Lonchura striata: one gene and its partner. The protein of the gene in region 2 interacts with the protein of the main gene of each other region in a biochemical or structural test. Links are inferred from orthologs where the notes say so. Each region holds a gene or a part of one and is shown on either strand. Other genes may lie near its edges.

Region 1 (7,347 bases), on a different chromosome or scaffold from region 2:
CGCTCCCGGTCCCGGTCCCGGTCCCGGTCCCGCTCTGTCCCGTCCCGGTCCCGCTCCCTCCCGGTCCCGGTCCCGGTCCCGCTCTGTCCCGGTCCCTTCCGCGCTGCTGGGACTGGCGCAGCTCCATGCCGGAGGGATAGGAACGGGGTGAGGCTTTCCGGACAACTTTGAAAGCGCTCCAAGAGACTCCGTGACTCGGTGGCCCCGCAGGGCTCGTGGGTGTCCGGCAGCGGGATCCCTTCGGGCCGGGGCAGCCCCTGTGTGGCCCCAGGAACAGCCACACGCATCTGTACCAGCCCGGGGTACACGGGGACTCAGAGTGTCCGGAGTCCCTCGGCCACGTGGGGGAGAGTCCCGGCTGTGCTTTCCCGGGTGAACGCAAGTTGAAATTTCATGTTTCGTTGAGCATTCAAAGAAAAAAGGAAGGTTGGATTTTGTAGAGGGCTTTTACCAGAGGAAATTAAAAAATATGTATCTGACATATCTGAAGACTTGGTTTTAACTCGCATCCTGATTGTTCCAGATGTTCCCCAGATGTCAAAGGGAACCAGGCATTGAAAGAGAAGAACACATTTGTTTTAATATGTTCGAACTTTAATATTGCCAAAGAATTAAAAGGCCTGGGCTTGTTTTGATTTTTCCTTTCGCTAACAACTTCAGTGTCTATTAATTGTCTACTAATCAAATTGAAGGTGAATTAGTTCCTTTTTATTTCAGCCAGCATGAGGTTGATATACATCCTGATCCTGGCTGCTTCCCAATCTCTTCTCTTTGGGTTTTTATGGTACTGAGCAGCTCTGGGAAAAGTGCTATAAACATTGGCAACGATCGATGCACAACCACGGGGGTAAAAATAGAGAGCTGAGCTCTTTCCACAAAGTGCTTATAAAAACCCATCAACCTGGGGCTTCCCTCTTTATCTCTTCCCTAGACAGATTTCAGGATGTGTGGAAGAGCTGAAAGATGCAGGAAAGGTTAGAAACAGCTTCAGTCCACTGACCAAATCTCCTTAACAGGGCCCAGCATCCCTGGGAAACAGGACAGAGCAAAGAGTCCCTCCATGACTTGGAGAAAGGAGCTGCAGCTTTCAGGGGCAAAATCCCCCGGGGGAGCCCTTGCCTTCTCCCTGGGGAAAGGAGGCACGAGGGAAGGGTGTGCTTCTGCCCAGCCTGACCCTTCTCTTCCCACTGTTTTTTCTCTTTTTTGTATTTCTGCTTAAATGAGACATCAACGTTAATCTAAAATCTAATGTGCAAAAAAAATACACTTTTTCAAGAATCACTCAATATTGTTTCCATGATCTAATCAGGGTGCAAGGGAAGCAGGTGCTCTTAAGAGTCCTAAGGTGAATTTATCTGTGTTAAAGGAGATGCTGTCAGTGTCCGACACTGTTTGTAGCGTTTCGGGTCTGCAGGAACTGTAACCTGAGTGACAGACTGGCACAGGCACAGCGGTCCGTGTCGCTCGAACACAGCAGATACAACTTGTGTGTGTGTTCCCTTAGAGGGGTTGGGTGATACACGTTCTGTGCACCGGTGTGGATGAAGGAAGGGGGCATCTGCACACCATGCGGCACGGCACCGGCGGTTCCCGCGGCACAGCTTCCCCACGGGCTTCGGCAGGAAGGGGAGGCGGTGCGTTGTGCCGGTGTCCCTGTGCCGGTGTCCCTGTGCCGGTGCCCCTGTGCCGGTGTCCCTGCGAGTGACCCGAGCGGCGGCCGCGCCCAGCCCGGCCCGGCCCGGCCCCGCCGCCGGGAGCGCGGGGGTCGCGCCGCCCTGAGCCGCCAGGGGGCGCTGCAGCGGGGGGCGCCAGCCCCGGGGGGTCTGAGTGTGAGAGAATGCGTGTGTATATATATATATATATGTATATATATATATATATGTATATATTTGTATGTCTGTGAGTGCTTATATGTGTGTGTATGTGTCTCTGCATGTACATCTATGTATGTGTGTATATGTCCGTGTATACCTGTATATGTCTCTGTATGAGTGTGTATATGTGTGGGTGAGTTTATATGTGTAAATGTGTGTGTATCCACGCCTGTGCGTACGTATGTGTCTGTGTGTCTGTCTGTGTCTGTCTCTCTGTGTGTCCTTGTAACCGCATATGTGCCTGTGTATGTCTGTGTGTGTATGTCTGTGTGTGTCCACACGTTTCTGTGTGTGTGTGTCTCTGTGTATGTATGTCTGTGTCTCTGTGCGTGTCCGTGTGTCCGCACATGTCTCCGTGTGTGTATGTCTGTGTCTCTGTGTGTCCATATGTCCGCACAAGCCTCTGTGTATGTCTGTGTGTCTGCACATGTCCGTGTGTGTATGTCTGTGTCTCTGTGTCTCCATGTGTGTATGTCCGTGTCTCTGTGTGTCCGTGTCTCTGTGTGTCTGCACATGTGTCCGTGTGTGTATGTCCGTGTCTCTGTGTGTCCGTGTGTCCGCACATGTGTCCGTGTGTGTATGTCCGTGTCTCTGTGTGTCCGTGTGTCCGCACATGTGTCCGTGTGTGTATGTCTGTGTGTCCGCACATGTGTCCGTGTGTGTATGTCTGTGTGTCTGTGTCTCCGTGTGTGTATGTCCGTGTCTCTGTGTGTCCGTGTGTCCGCACATGTGTCCGTGTGTCCGCACATATGTCCGTGTGTGTATGTCCGTGTCTCTGTGTGTCCGTGTCTCTGTGTGTCTGTGTCTGTCTCTGTGTGTCCGTGTGTCCGCACATGTCTCCGTGCATGTATGTCTGTGTGTCCGCACATGTGTCCGTGTCTCTGTGTGTCCGTGTGTGTATGTCCGTGTCTCTGTGTGTCCGTGTCTCTGTGTGTCCGTGTCTGTCTCTGTGTGTCCGTGTGTCTGCACATGTCTCCGTGTGTGTATGTCTGTGTGTCCGCACATGTGTCCGTGTCTCTGTGTGTCCGTGTGTGTATGTCCGTGTCTCTGTGTGTCCGTGTCTCTGTGTGTCCGTGTCTCTGTGTGTCCGTGTGTCCGCACATGTGTCCGTGTGTGTATGTCCGTGTCTCTGTGTGTCCGTGTCTCTGTGTGTCCGTGTCTCTGTGTGTCCGTGTCTCTGTGTGTCCGTGTGTGTATGTCCGTGTCTCTGTGTGTCCGTGTGTGTATGTCTGTGTGTCCGCACATGTGTCCGTGTCTCTGTGTGTCCGTGTGTGTATGTCCGTGTCTCTGTGTGTCCGTGTCTCTGTGTGTCCGTGTGTGTATGTCCGTGTCTCTGTGTGTCCGTGTCTCTGTGTGTCCGTGTGTGTGTGTCCGTGTCTCTGTGTGTCCGTGTCTCTGTGTGTCCGTGTCTCTGTCTGTCCGTGTCTGTCTCTGTGTGTCCGTGTGTCCGCACATGTCTCCGTGTGTGTATGTCTGTGTGTCCGCACATGTGTCCGTGTCTCTGTGTGTCCGTGTGTGTGTGTCCGTGTCTCTGTGTGTCCGTGTCTCTGTGTGTCCGTGTGTCCGCACATGTGTCCGTGTGTGTATGTCCGTGTCTCTGTGTGTCTGTGTCTCTGTGTGTCCGTGTCTCTGTGTGTCCGTGTGTGTATGTCCGTGTCTCTGTATGTCCGTGTCTCTGTGTGTCCGTGTCTCTGTGTGTCCGTGTGTGTATGTCTGTGTCCGCACATGTGTCCGTGTGTGTATGTCCGTGTCTCTGTGTGCCCGTGTGTGTATGTCCGTGTCTCTGTGTGTCCGTGTCTCTGTGTGTCCGTGTGTGTATGTCTGTGTGTCCGCACATGTGTCCGTGTCTCTGTGTGTCCGTGTCTCTGTATGTCCGTGTCTCTGTGTGTCCATGTGTGTATGTCCGTGTCTCTGTGTGTCCGTGTCTCTGTGTGTCCGTGTCTCTGTGTGTCCGTGTGTCCGCACGTGTCCGTGTGTCCGCACATGTGTCCGTGTGTGTATGTCCGTGTCTCTGTGTGTCCGTGTCTCTGTGTGTCCGTGTGTCCGCACATGTGTCCGTGTGTGTATGTCCGTGTCTCTGTGTGTCCGTGTCTCTGTGTGTCCGTGTCTCTGTGTGTCCGTGTCTCTGTGTGTCCGTGTCTCTGTGTGTCCGTGTGTGTATGTCCGTGTCTCTGTGTGTCCGTGTCTCTGTGTGTCCGTGTGTGTATGTCCGTGTCTCTGTGTGTCCGTGTCTCTGTGTGTCCGTGTCTCTGTGTGTCCGTGTGTCCGCCCTAGCCCCGGCGCACGTCTGTGTCCCGCGCCTTGCGCGCCGCCGCGGCGGTTGGGAGCCGCCCGCGCCTTCCGGCGCCGTGACCGGCAGTGACGCGGCGGGCCGCCCGCGGAGGCCGCTCGGCGGGGCGCTGTGCCGGGCGCTCGGGGCGCGGTGCGCCCGTGCCCGTGCCCGCGGTGCCGCCGTGGCCCGGCGCGGGCGGGCTGAGCGGCGCTCCGTCCCTCCCCGGCTCCGCCGGGCCGTGCCCGCGGCTCCGCGCCGCGGCGGCGAAGATGAGGACCGTGCTGATGGTGGCGGAGAAGCCGTCGCTGGCGCAGTCCATCGCCAAGATCCTCTCCAGAGGTAGGCGGGGCGGGTGCCCGTGCCCGCCGCGGGGCCGGCCCGGCCGGAGCGCGGCGGTGAGTGCGAGCTGCCGGCTTTGCACAGGCACCCTGGGCAGCGGCTGCCTTGTCTTGGGGCCGGAGCCCCCTGGCAGCGCTGGCTTCGGAGAGGTTCATCAAAGAACGGGATGTCCCATCACGTTCTGATTGTTTCTATGGGCTGATGCCTGTTTAATCCAAGAATAAAGGAATCTAGTTTCAGTATTTTGCCTTAGAGCATGCGGTGTCTGGAAAGTGCCGATCAAGTAGGCAGTGGCTGTTCTGAGATCTGTGAAGTAAAAGTTTTATAAATATGGAAAATAAAGTTATTATAAGTGTGTGTTCTAGAAAACTAGCTGTATTTTCGTAAGGTTTCATGGTGGGAGGGAAAGGCTGGTGGAGATAATGGATAGTTTAATTTGAAGATAAAATATCCTTTAGGAAAGCCCTGAATTGATACTTACTGAAATGAAAGTTTTATCAATGAGTAGATCTTTCTCATCAATTATCAGAAAGGATCAATGATCAGAAAGACCGTAGCTGTAAGATCTAAGGAAAGGAAGATTTAATTTCACACAAAACTATTTGTTTCACTAGCTGGGGTTTTTTCTACCTCATTAATATTTATGATCTTATTTTCACAGGGAACATGTCCTCTCGCAAGGGACTCAACGGTGCGTGCTCTGTGCACGAGTACACCGGGTCCTTCATAGGACAGAGCGCCCACTTCAAGATGACATCGGTGTGTGGTCACGTCATGACTTTGGATTTCATAGGTATTTGCCTGCTCGTCAAATGTTTTAACTAATATGGCTTGTAGAGCTGCCAGGTCCTTCAGAAAAACGAAGAGGTTTCTTGGTATACAGTAAAGCAAGATCTGTTAGTGTAGAAAATTTTCCACATAAATTTTGAAAGCCAAGTGTTTTGCAATGTGAAGCTGTTTGTTTTATAAATATTTCTTCAGAGCTCCATTTTATATACTTTTGCTTTTCAGGAAAATATAACAGCTGGGACAAAGTGGATCCAGCAGAACTTTTTAGTAAAGCTCCCACAGAAAAGAAAGAAGCTAATCCCAAACTGACCATGGTGAAATTTTTACAGGTATTCTTTCTTAGGAGTAGAATTTAAAGTTAGCATTTTCTATGTGCCTAAATAAAAATTCTTCCAGGGAGTAGCTTTTTGTCACAGTTAGATCTATTTTATTAACATAATATAAATAATTTATTTTTGCTGATTCTTGCGCTGTCTAAAATCTATGTTAAAGTCACTTTTCCCATTGCCTTCTGAGTTTTTTGACAGTTGATATTCTGCTTCTGAGAGTTGGAGCACTGGATGCAAGTTTAACTTTATAACAGCAAGTGTAAGCACAGCTTATAAATGCCTTCTTTAAAATAAGTCTGTGTTGGTTACTGTTCACACTTCACACACCATGCTGAAACCAGGAAAAAAATATATGGGTAGGGAGGGGGGAGATGTTGTTTTGAGTTGCTGAAGAACTGTGCTGATTTTTCTCACAGGTGGAGGGAAGAGGCTGTGATTGTATTGTCTTGTGGTTGGATTGTGATAAGGAAGGAGAAAACATCTGTTTTGAAGTAAGGTTTCAATTTTTAAGACTCACAACACCATAATATATGTCTGACAAGACTATCAATGCATTGTTTTATGAGTGTACAGTAAAATTCAAACTAAACTTGAATAAAGTTTTAAAGGCATAGAGGGCCTTGGTGGAAAAGCCCACATGCTTTTAACTCTGTAAGATGTCAGTTAAAGAGTATAAATAAATTTCAGAGGTGTTGCTCATCTCAGATGAAGAATCAGGCCTCTTAAATGTTAGAACATTCCAGTACTTCAATAATTGGCCTGTATTTCACAGCTGGAGAAGTTATTTTTATGTCCTTATAAAACTTCATCTGTTATCTTTTGTTTATTAAGCAATTAGATTCCTTGGAGCACAGAAGCTGCTTGCAAGTATAATCATGCTGCTTAAATTTTGCTTCTGCACATAAAAAGCAGAGAACACATAGAACAAAAACTTTGCTAAGATTTTTTTTAACATCCAATTCCCAGAAGCCTACATGAAGAGTACTTGTTTGGAGATTTTCTTTAGATTAAAGAAACATGTTTTATGAAGTGATTATTGTAAGTTCCTTTCTTACCCCTGTGTCATTACTTGTGCTTAGCAATGAGTAGAATAAACCCAGATAGACATTGGTACATGTTCACCAAAAGCTGCTGCAGCTGCACTGCTGAATGTCTTTGCCCTTAGCCAAAAATACTGATTTGCTCCCAGCAGTTGCTGTATAGTAGATAATCCCTTCAGTTTTGTTAATTCTTTATATGCTTTTGAGTGGATGGACAAATACTGCTCTGGCTTATCAGTTAATGTGTGAGCATGACATCTTGCTGAAATAAGAAAGCAGTGACACAGAAACAAATATTTTGTGGAGAATGTTTTTTTTTTATCTTTAGAGAGAAAGCCTTTATCTTTCAAATCCTTTTTAAGTACACTTCTGATTTTCTTTAGGTTCTTGATGCTGTTCTTCCTGTCATGAACAAGCCTCGTGGCACGGAGAGGACGATTTACAGAGCTAAATTCAGCTCCATCACCGACACAGACATCTGCAATGCCATGAATCACTTGGGAGAGCCCAATCGCAACGAAGCTCTGTCCGTGGATGCTCGCCAGGAGCTGGATCTGAGGATTGGCTGTGCCTTCACAAGGTGACAGCACAGACTGCAGACAGTTTTGTCAAAGGTTCAAGAGGGGCTCTGTGCCCTCATGGTTTAATGCCAGCCAAACCCCACACAGCCACTCACTGCCTCCCCGCCCCTACTTTCCACGAAG
Region 2 (7,185 bases):
CAGGTGACAAATCAATTAGAGCAGCCTGACAAAAATGTTAGTCTTGGCCTTTAGTGAAAATTCTCTCTCCTTGCAACACCACCTTAACAACAGTCTGTGGCTATAGGTGATGGTATTATGCCCAAGACTTCATAATCCTTTACCATTTCCATGTAGGATACGTACTTGCTGTTTGTCTTTCCTCCATCCTGCTTCTTTCCAAGCCTCTCTCCTTCCTCTCCCCCATGAAGAAAATCTTTAGTTCTGTAAATCTCCCTTCTTCTTATTAGTCTGTGAAAAGTTAATCTCTTCTCTAGCTGCCATATAAGAAAGACTGTGTGCTGAGTACTGTCCTTCACATAAATCATACACAATATTTTAGCTGACATGCAACAATACAGGTAGAAAAGCTAATCCTTCTGACTGCAGTCAAATCAGTTTAGGACCCAGTCCATCACAGACCATGGAGAGGCCACCACTTTTGTTCAAACTCCAGCACACTCCTAGAAATAGTGACCAGAAAGAAAGGCCCTTTCCATTCAGTGCCCAGTAACTTTCAGCTCCAGATCCAGGATAAGGATAATCTGCTTTTATGTTCAGTAAGCAGACCTGTTCCCTTCAGATAACGCAATGAAGAAAGCATATTTTATGGAAGACAGAAATTGAGACCAAAACAGACTTGCTGCTGCTGTGGGGACCTCCTATTATACCTGGTATTCAGGGTCTTCATCCCAATGTTGGTGCTTTCAGCACATCAGGTAGGGATGAAAGATGCCATAACTCATGATGAGTGTTACAGGTTTCTGCTCTTGCTCATTTCTGGAAAGTGCGGTCAAAAGTTTCAGCTCCCCAGTTTTGTGAGCCTACTGTTAACCAAGAGAATTGAGCCTGGAACTGGCAGGAGATGAAGGGAGTAAGGATGAATCAATTCAATGAATCAAGGAGCCTACAGGGCTGCTTCAAAACCTGGCTCTTGCTGTCTTGTGCTGAGTGCTAGTTCTGTTAGAACTGTCTCACCAGAGGTGCTTGAGTAGACCAACCCTTTCAGGTATTTAAAATTACAGAACATTGTGAAATAACCTCTTTGGCACAGATTAAGCTGTCCTAGGGCACATGGGCAGCAGTCAAACAGAACTGCATTTTAGGCAGTTTGGACAGAAGAAGTCCATGTGAATTTTGTGGACAGTGATGCACTGATTCATCTGGAGCAACAAGCATTTTCCAGAGAAAGCTCTGAAGGCATAGAGCCCCTTACAGGAGTGCAGAAGTTTAGACTGGTCCCTGTACAGCCCCAGGTACTTTGGTGCTCATTACCTTCAGCAACGTCGCTTATTCTAAAGGTGATCGATACAGAGAATATACTCTAAGAACGTTTTATCACAAACAGCTGGTACTGAGGGTCTTAGCTGCAGGTTTCTGACTGTCTGGCAGGCACTGCATCACCTTTTGTTTTACAGTGGAACTAATTGCTCACCTCGGTTCAGCACAGCCAGCAGCAGCTACAAACTACAAAGCTCAGGCAGTGCCCTCTGTGAGCAGAGAAACATCCACTAATGGGGACTTCTCCTGTACAAAAGGAGGCACATGTGAATACATACACAAACACATCTCAGCTTGCATATAATTAATTTGTTAGAGCAGATGCCTGCAGACCTTTAAGAAGCATATACATTTTCTTTATAATAGATGGTGTTTAGTGCCATGAGGTGCAACAGCTAGCCCTATGCCAGCATAAACTGCTGGTATAATTGCCTGGTGACTTTAATGAAGATTTAAGTAAGCAAAACCTTCCATGTCTTAAACTAACACTAGGCAATGCAAAAGGTCTGTAATTCTCATTATCTTCTCCTAGGTCATACTCCATCCCTTACTAATTGGCTCTATGGGCATCCCATTTTGAGTTACAATATTTACAACCTTATCTTGATAATCTAATGTGCAGACAGGTCAGACTCCAAATGCAAGTTCTTTTTATTCCCATTTCTTTTGCATCATAAGTTCTGAACTGAAACCACACTTATCTGCTAGTGCTTTTCCATGTCAGTGGCTGTTACTGCTGCAACATGGGTGTGACTTGGCCACTGACATTTCAGTGTGACTCTTCTGCTTTAGGGTATTCCTCGTCACTAATTCAAGAGTTTCTTTTGTACAGACATACAGTAGGTCTGTTTCGGGGCTCTTGGGTGGGCTAGTTCTCTTCTAGTTCTATTCCTTTTGCAGCTTATGAGCGTATGCTCACCTGGAGCCTTGTCATGACATAGGACTGCACAACCTCTGATAATCCACTTTCCCAAATAATAATGCTCCCTCTGCTATTTTTTTGTGGTTATTTAATGACCACAAGGATTAACACTTTCCTATGGCTACATTCATTATTTTGAGATTTTGTTGGCAGAAATCCCATGTTAGTCTTCCATTTTTAAGCTGCCTTTTTTTTTAAATTTTATTTTAGGTTTATGTTAATGCTCATGACCAAGAAAGCTTCAAGAATATATATAGCATTATGCATTGTTCAGTTGAATAATATAGGTTTTATTTCCTTCATCTGTGTCAAGATTTATTATCAATTATCAACTTATAGATATACGTGTTTTCTTAAAATTAGCATCTACACAGGCCACACCATACCTACTTATGACAAAATTTTTGTCCTAGAGTACATAACCTATAGACACAAAAGAAAATACCATGAATGAGCAGCACAGAGTGTTGTGTGCAAAAATCCTGAGTGATTTGTACTCAGTATGGCAAAGAGAGGTTTTCAGGTAGATCAAACAATGAAACCAAAGAAGACTCAAAAAAACCCTCAACAAAAGCAAATTAAGCTTTGGCTTGAAGATGCTGCATAAAAATTGAAACATCTTGAGGGTGAAAATAACCCATAAAGAAAAGACCACCTTTAATAGACAAACACAGCAGATAGACAAGTTTCAAAACCTCAGTGCTGAAAAAAAACCATTTGGCATTGATGGGTTACAGAAGTAGCTGGACATGATGCACTAATGCAAATGGTCAGTGTTTTCTGCAGAGCAGCTGACCTCACCTGCAGGCAGAAACCCTGAGCACCCAGGCCTTGATAAGCATTTTCTTAACTCCTGACCTGCCCATGTTCACCTTCTGGCTCTTTCTCTGGATGCTGGAACACAGAGTAAACAGGGCGACGGTGTTCCCACCTCACATATCACTGGCACCGGAGGGCACTGGGCACTTGTAACAGCAATGATGAAAGAGTGCTATTCTGTTAAAGTATAATTCCCTTTAAAAATACACATAAAACCCTCCCAAAATATTCATATCGGTGCCCAGCATTTTAGGGCAAATCATTAAAGAAAACAACGCAAACAACAAATTGCCAAAAATAAAAGAAACATAGAACCAGTCTTTCAAAAAGAATTATTAATGTTGCGAAAGACCATTAACAATGAGCCCAACCATTAAGGAGCACTGCCAAGTCTACCACTAAACCATGCCCCTAAGCGCCACATTACAGCTTTTCTGAATACTTGCACGGACAGGAATCCCACCACTTCCCTGGGCAGCCTTTCCAATGCTTCACTCTTTCTGTGAATAAGTTTTTCCTAAAAAGCTTTCTTTTAGGAAAAATAGGAGGTTTAGACATCTAAACCTCCTGTGGCACAACTTGAGGCCATTTCCTGGCCATTTGCATTCATCCTACCATTTGTCACTTGGTAGAAGAGGCCGACCCCCACCTGGCTACGAGCTCCTTTCACGAAGCTGTCAAGAGCGAGAAGGTGTTCCCGAGCCTCCTCCTCTCCAGGCCAAACATTCCCAGCTCCCGCAGCTGCTCCTCATCTGACGTGTGCTCCAGACCCTTCTAAAAATCCCTCCTCGCCCGCAGCACGCGTTTGAGGGCCCGAAGGAGAGCCTTTTCCAGAACAACGCTACTGTCAATAATGCTATCCATAGCCGGAACGCGTTTAAGCAAGCCCTTCCGACACTGCACGGCGGCAGGAGCCAGCCGCCGGAGCGGGGCCGGCGCTCCCCGGCCGCGCTGCCCTCACTGCTTCCCTTCCCCGCCATGGCGGCAGCGGCTTCCAAGCAGCCGCCGGTCGCGGGCTTTGTTCGTCTCTGCCTGCGCCGCCCCCGCCCCTTCCTTCCCTCCGCTCCCTCCCTCTCCCCTTCCCTCCCTCCCTCCCCTGGCCGGCCCGAGCGCCCGGAGAGGCCCGCGGGGCGAGGGAACGAGCGGGCCCCGCGTCCCTCCTCCCCTGCGAGCGAGTGCCGGGGGTCTCCGCAGCGCCCGCGGCCCCGAGTGCGGCGGGGGAGGCGCCATGGCCGAGCGGGCGCGGGCGGCGCTCTCCGAGTCGGGCTGGTAAGTGGGGCCGAGCTCGGCCGCGCCGCCGCCTCCGCCCGGGGTGCGGGGCGGGCAGCGCCCGTGTCCGAGCCGTGCGGTGCGGGGGATGTCCCGCCCCAGCTCCGCTGGGAGCCCCTCGGCGCCGGGCAGGGGCTGCGCCGCCCGCTGCGCTCGGGCCTGGCGCTGGCTCGCCCTGGAGAGCAGCTCCCGGCCCGTCCCGCCGGCCCTGCCGCGAGGACCGGCACCCCTACCCCGCGGCCACCCCCGAGGTTCCTCGGGATCGGCGGCGGCCTCCCCGCCTGCCCCGGGACTGGCCTCGCCCGCAGGCCTGGCGCCTGCCCGTACTGCTGGGGCTGTAAACTGCACCGTGCGCCCCTTCTGTAAGGCAGGCAAGAAGCAAAAGTGGAGTTAAGGTGGGGTAAATGAACCACACGTGAGGCTTGAACTCGGTTGCTTATGTTTTCTTAAGAGTCCCAGTCGCTGGGCACACAATATCCATTTTGGAACAACGTGTTTCAACGAGTTGTGCTTTTCAAATACCTACTGTAAACGCTTATTTGCTAGCCTACAGCTGAGATTGCATTGTAGGAAGTTTTTATTTTGATTTGGGGCTTTTTTGTTTGTTTGTTTGATTATTTTGTTGAAGTGATTCACTTATTAGTCAATACTGACTTTTTCCCATAACTACTTGGAAAGTCTTTCGACAAACCTAAAGTTTAGTGCTGCCTGCTAAAGCACAAAGCAATGTACGCAAAGTTATTTCCAACGGCATGTTTGAGATATTTCTGGTTTACTGTTTACATTAGTGGTTGTCCTAGATTGTGGTTTCATGTACGGTCTAAGATGGAAAAAGTTAAAGTGGGTATCCTGTGATTTAGAATAGAACAAGACAATTTACTTAGAAGGGACCTATGATGATCATCTAGTCAAGTCACTTGATGAATTCAGGGCTGACCAAATCTTGGTATGTTATTAAGGACACTGGCCAAATTCCTCTTAAACATTTGACTGCCACCCTAGGAAACCTCTTCCAGTGTTTGATTATGCCCTCAGTATAAAGAAATGCTTCCTTATATCCAATTTGAACGCTCTCTGGCACAGCTCTGAACCATCCCCATTCATCTGGTCACTAGATCCAGGCAGAATCTGTCTTTGCTTCCCCCACTCAGGAGGCTGTAGAAAGCGGTTTGCCCCTCAGCCTCCTGTTCTCCTATCGAGACAAGCCAAAGTCTTCAGCTGCTCCTCACAGGACATGCCACCAGCTTTGTTGCCCTCCTCCACATTTAAGGACCTTCATGTAGCTTTCCAGTTTTTTGCACAGTAGTCCAGGTAAGGCCCCACCAGTGCTGAATAAGTGGGAATCACCTCCTTTAACCCCCTGGTGATGCTGTGTTTGTTGGGCCAGCTTTTGCTACTTTGTGGTAATAGTAACCAAACAGAGTAATTAGGTGTCCTTTGCTATGCCTCTTGAATAAGTGTATCAAGAGCCAAAACATTGTTCTAAATGGTTCTGGAGAGCACAGTCCTATGACTCCTGGCTATTGCCAAATTGATACAATCAAAACTAGTTCTGCTACTTTTTATAACATTTGCTTATTTGACGGGAATTTTGGACTGTGACTTGAAACTTGCCCCTCTACTCTTCTGTTATGTAGACCTCTCCAAAATTGGAAAAGTTTTACATAAAAGTAGTTTTATTTTCTTAGTTTTCTTTTCTTGCTTTCTATTGCCTATTCAAAATTTTTTCCCAGTTTTCAGCTCTTGAGTTGTTTTGCTGCCTTTTCAGCTGAATGCATGCCATTGCTTAATGGCTTTCAAGTTTTTGGCAGTACAAATATGAGGTGCCTCTGAAACAATCTGTCCCTTTGCAGTGTTTGCTGCCCTCCTTGGTGGCAGAGACTTTTGAATGGCTGTCAACAGTTGTTACTCTTGCAGTCCTGTAGGGTGGGAGCCAGAGGCTGAAGTTGAAGGGGCAAGTAATGGGCTCATTATCAGGTCCACTGGAATTATGCCTTGACCAGGTTGTATTGGGAAAGGTAGTATAAAAGGGGAGGAATTAATACATATACTTTTGAGGAATGTGAAGTGGAGTGGAAAAATAAATAATGATTTGGAAATCTTGCTTAGCTGTGTTCATGCACTTAAAAAAAGAGTAGTAACCTGAGCACCCATGCTTCTAACTGCTTTGCTGTTGCTCTTATGATTTTTCTCATATTATTAGATCTTAGAGTTATTTACACATCTGTGAGTGAGCCTTCAGTGATGTTTAATGTCGGTTTAGTGTTGGTGATTAAGTAAAGTTTTGTACCAAATTGGTGGTTACTGCTGCTGTCACCTGCTGTCAGAATGATAATATTTCTAGTACAAAAGAAAAACTGAGTTTATGTGTTAAAATCTATCCCCACTTAAACTGCAAAAGCACTGCATGGCATGTCAAGTAAAAAATCTTTGCTTAGCTTAAAATCTGCTAGCTTGTAAAAATCTACCTGTACTGTGGATTTTACAGTAAGTTTCTTATACATTACAGAATTAGAGAGTTAAGGTAGACACTTGTTTATTTCAGTTTCTGCAACTAGTGTTTACCTTTTATAATTCTGAATGAAAAATAAAGTTATTTTTCAAGTAGAACAGTAATAAAGTGTAGTTAATACTGAACAGTAATTATAGATCTATTCCCCTCCCCCAAGCAGGTATTGTCAGAGTAATCTGTTATAAAATTGTCTCTGAATTTGTAATGTTTGCCTTCAGTATATCAATTACATTTTTTGTCAGCTTCTGAAAGGTAAAGGAGCCCTACCTAGTAAACATAACAGTGGTAGGTAAAGCTGGGAGACATTTTTTTCTTTTTATGATGATGGTGGTATTTTATGAAAATGAGTAAAAGGCTCCTGTAG

The links.
Region 1: the proteins of TDRD3 (region 2) and TOP3B form a complex in vitro, tested with the Homo sapiens proteins (2 studies listed by BioGRID and IntAct, with this or other methods). The link is inferred for Lonchura striata from reciprocal best matches to the Homo sapiens genes TDRD3 and TOP3B.

What each region holds. Positions count from the first base shown.
Region 1 is NC_134620.1:7,280,924-7,288,270, forward strand, and holds the start of TOP3B (DNA topoisomerase 3-beta-1), read left to right. Parts: upstream 1-4,334; 5' UTR 4,335-4,415; coding exon 4,416-4,485; intron 4,486-5,146; coding exon 5,147-5,278; intron 5,279-5,496; coding exon 5,497-5,603; intron 5,604-6,019; coding exon 6,020-6,094; intron 6,095-7,026; coding exon 7,027-7,223; intron 7,224-7,347. UniProt on the Homo sapiens protein: Releases the supercoiling and torsional tension of DNA introduced during the DNA replication and transcription by transiently cleaving and rejoining one strand of the DNA duplex.
Region 2 is NC_134604.1:55,890,687-55,897,871, reverse strand, and holds the start of TDRD3 (tudor domain-containing protein 3), read left to right. Parts: upstream 1-4,177; 5' UTR 4,178-4,268; coding exon 4,269-4,309; intron 4,310-7,185. UniProt on the Homo sapiens protein: Scaffolding protein that specifically recognizes and binds dimethylarginine-containing proteins. Plays a role in the regulation of translation of target mRNAs by binding Arg/Gly-rich motifs (GAR) in dimethylarginine-containing proteins.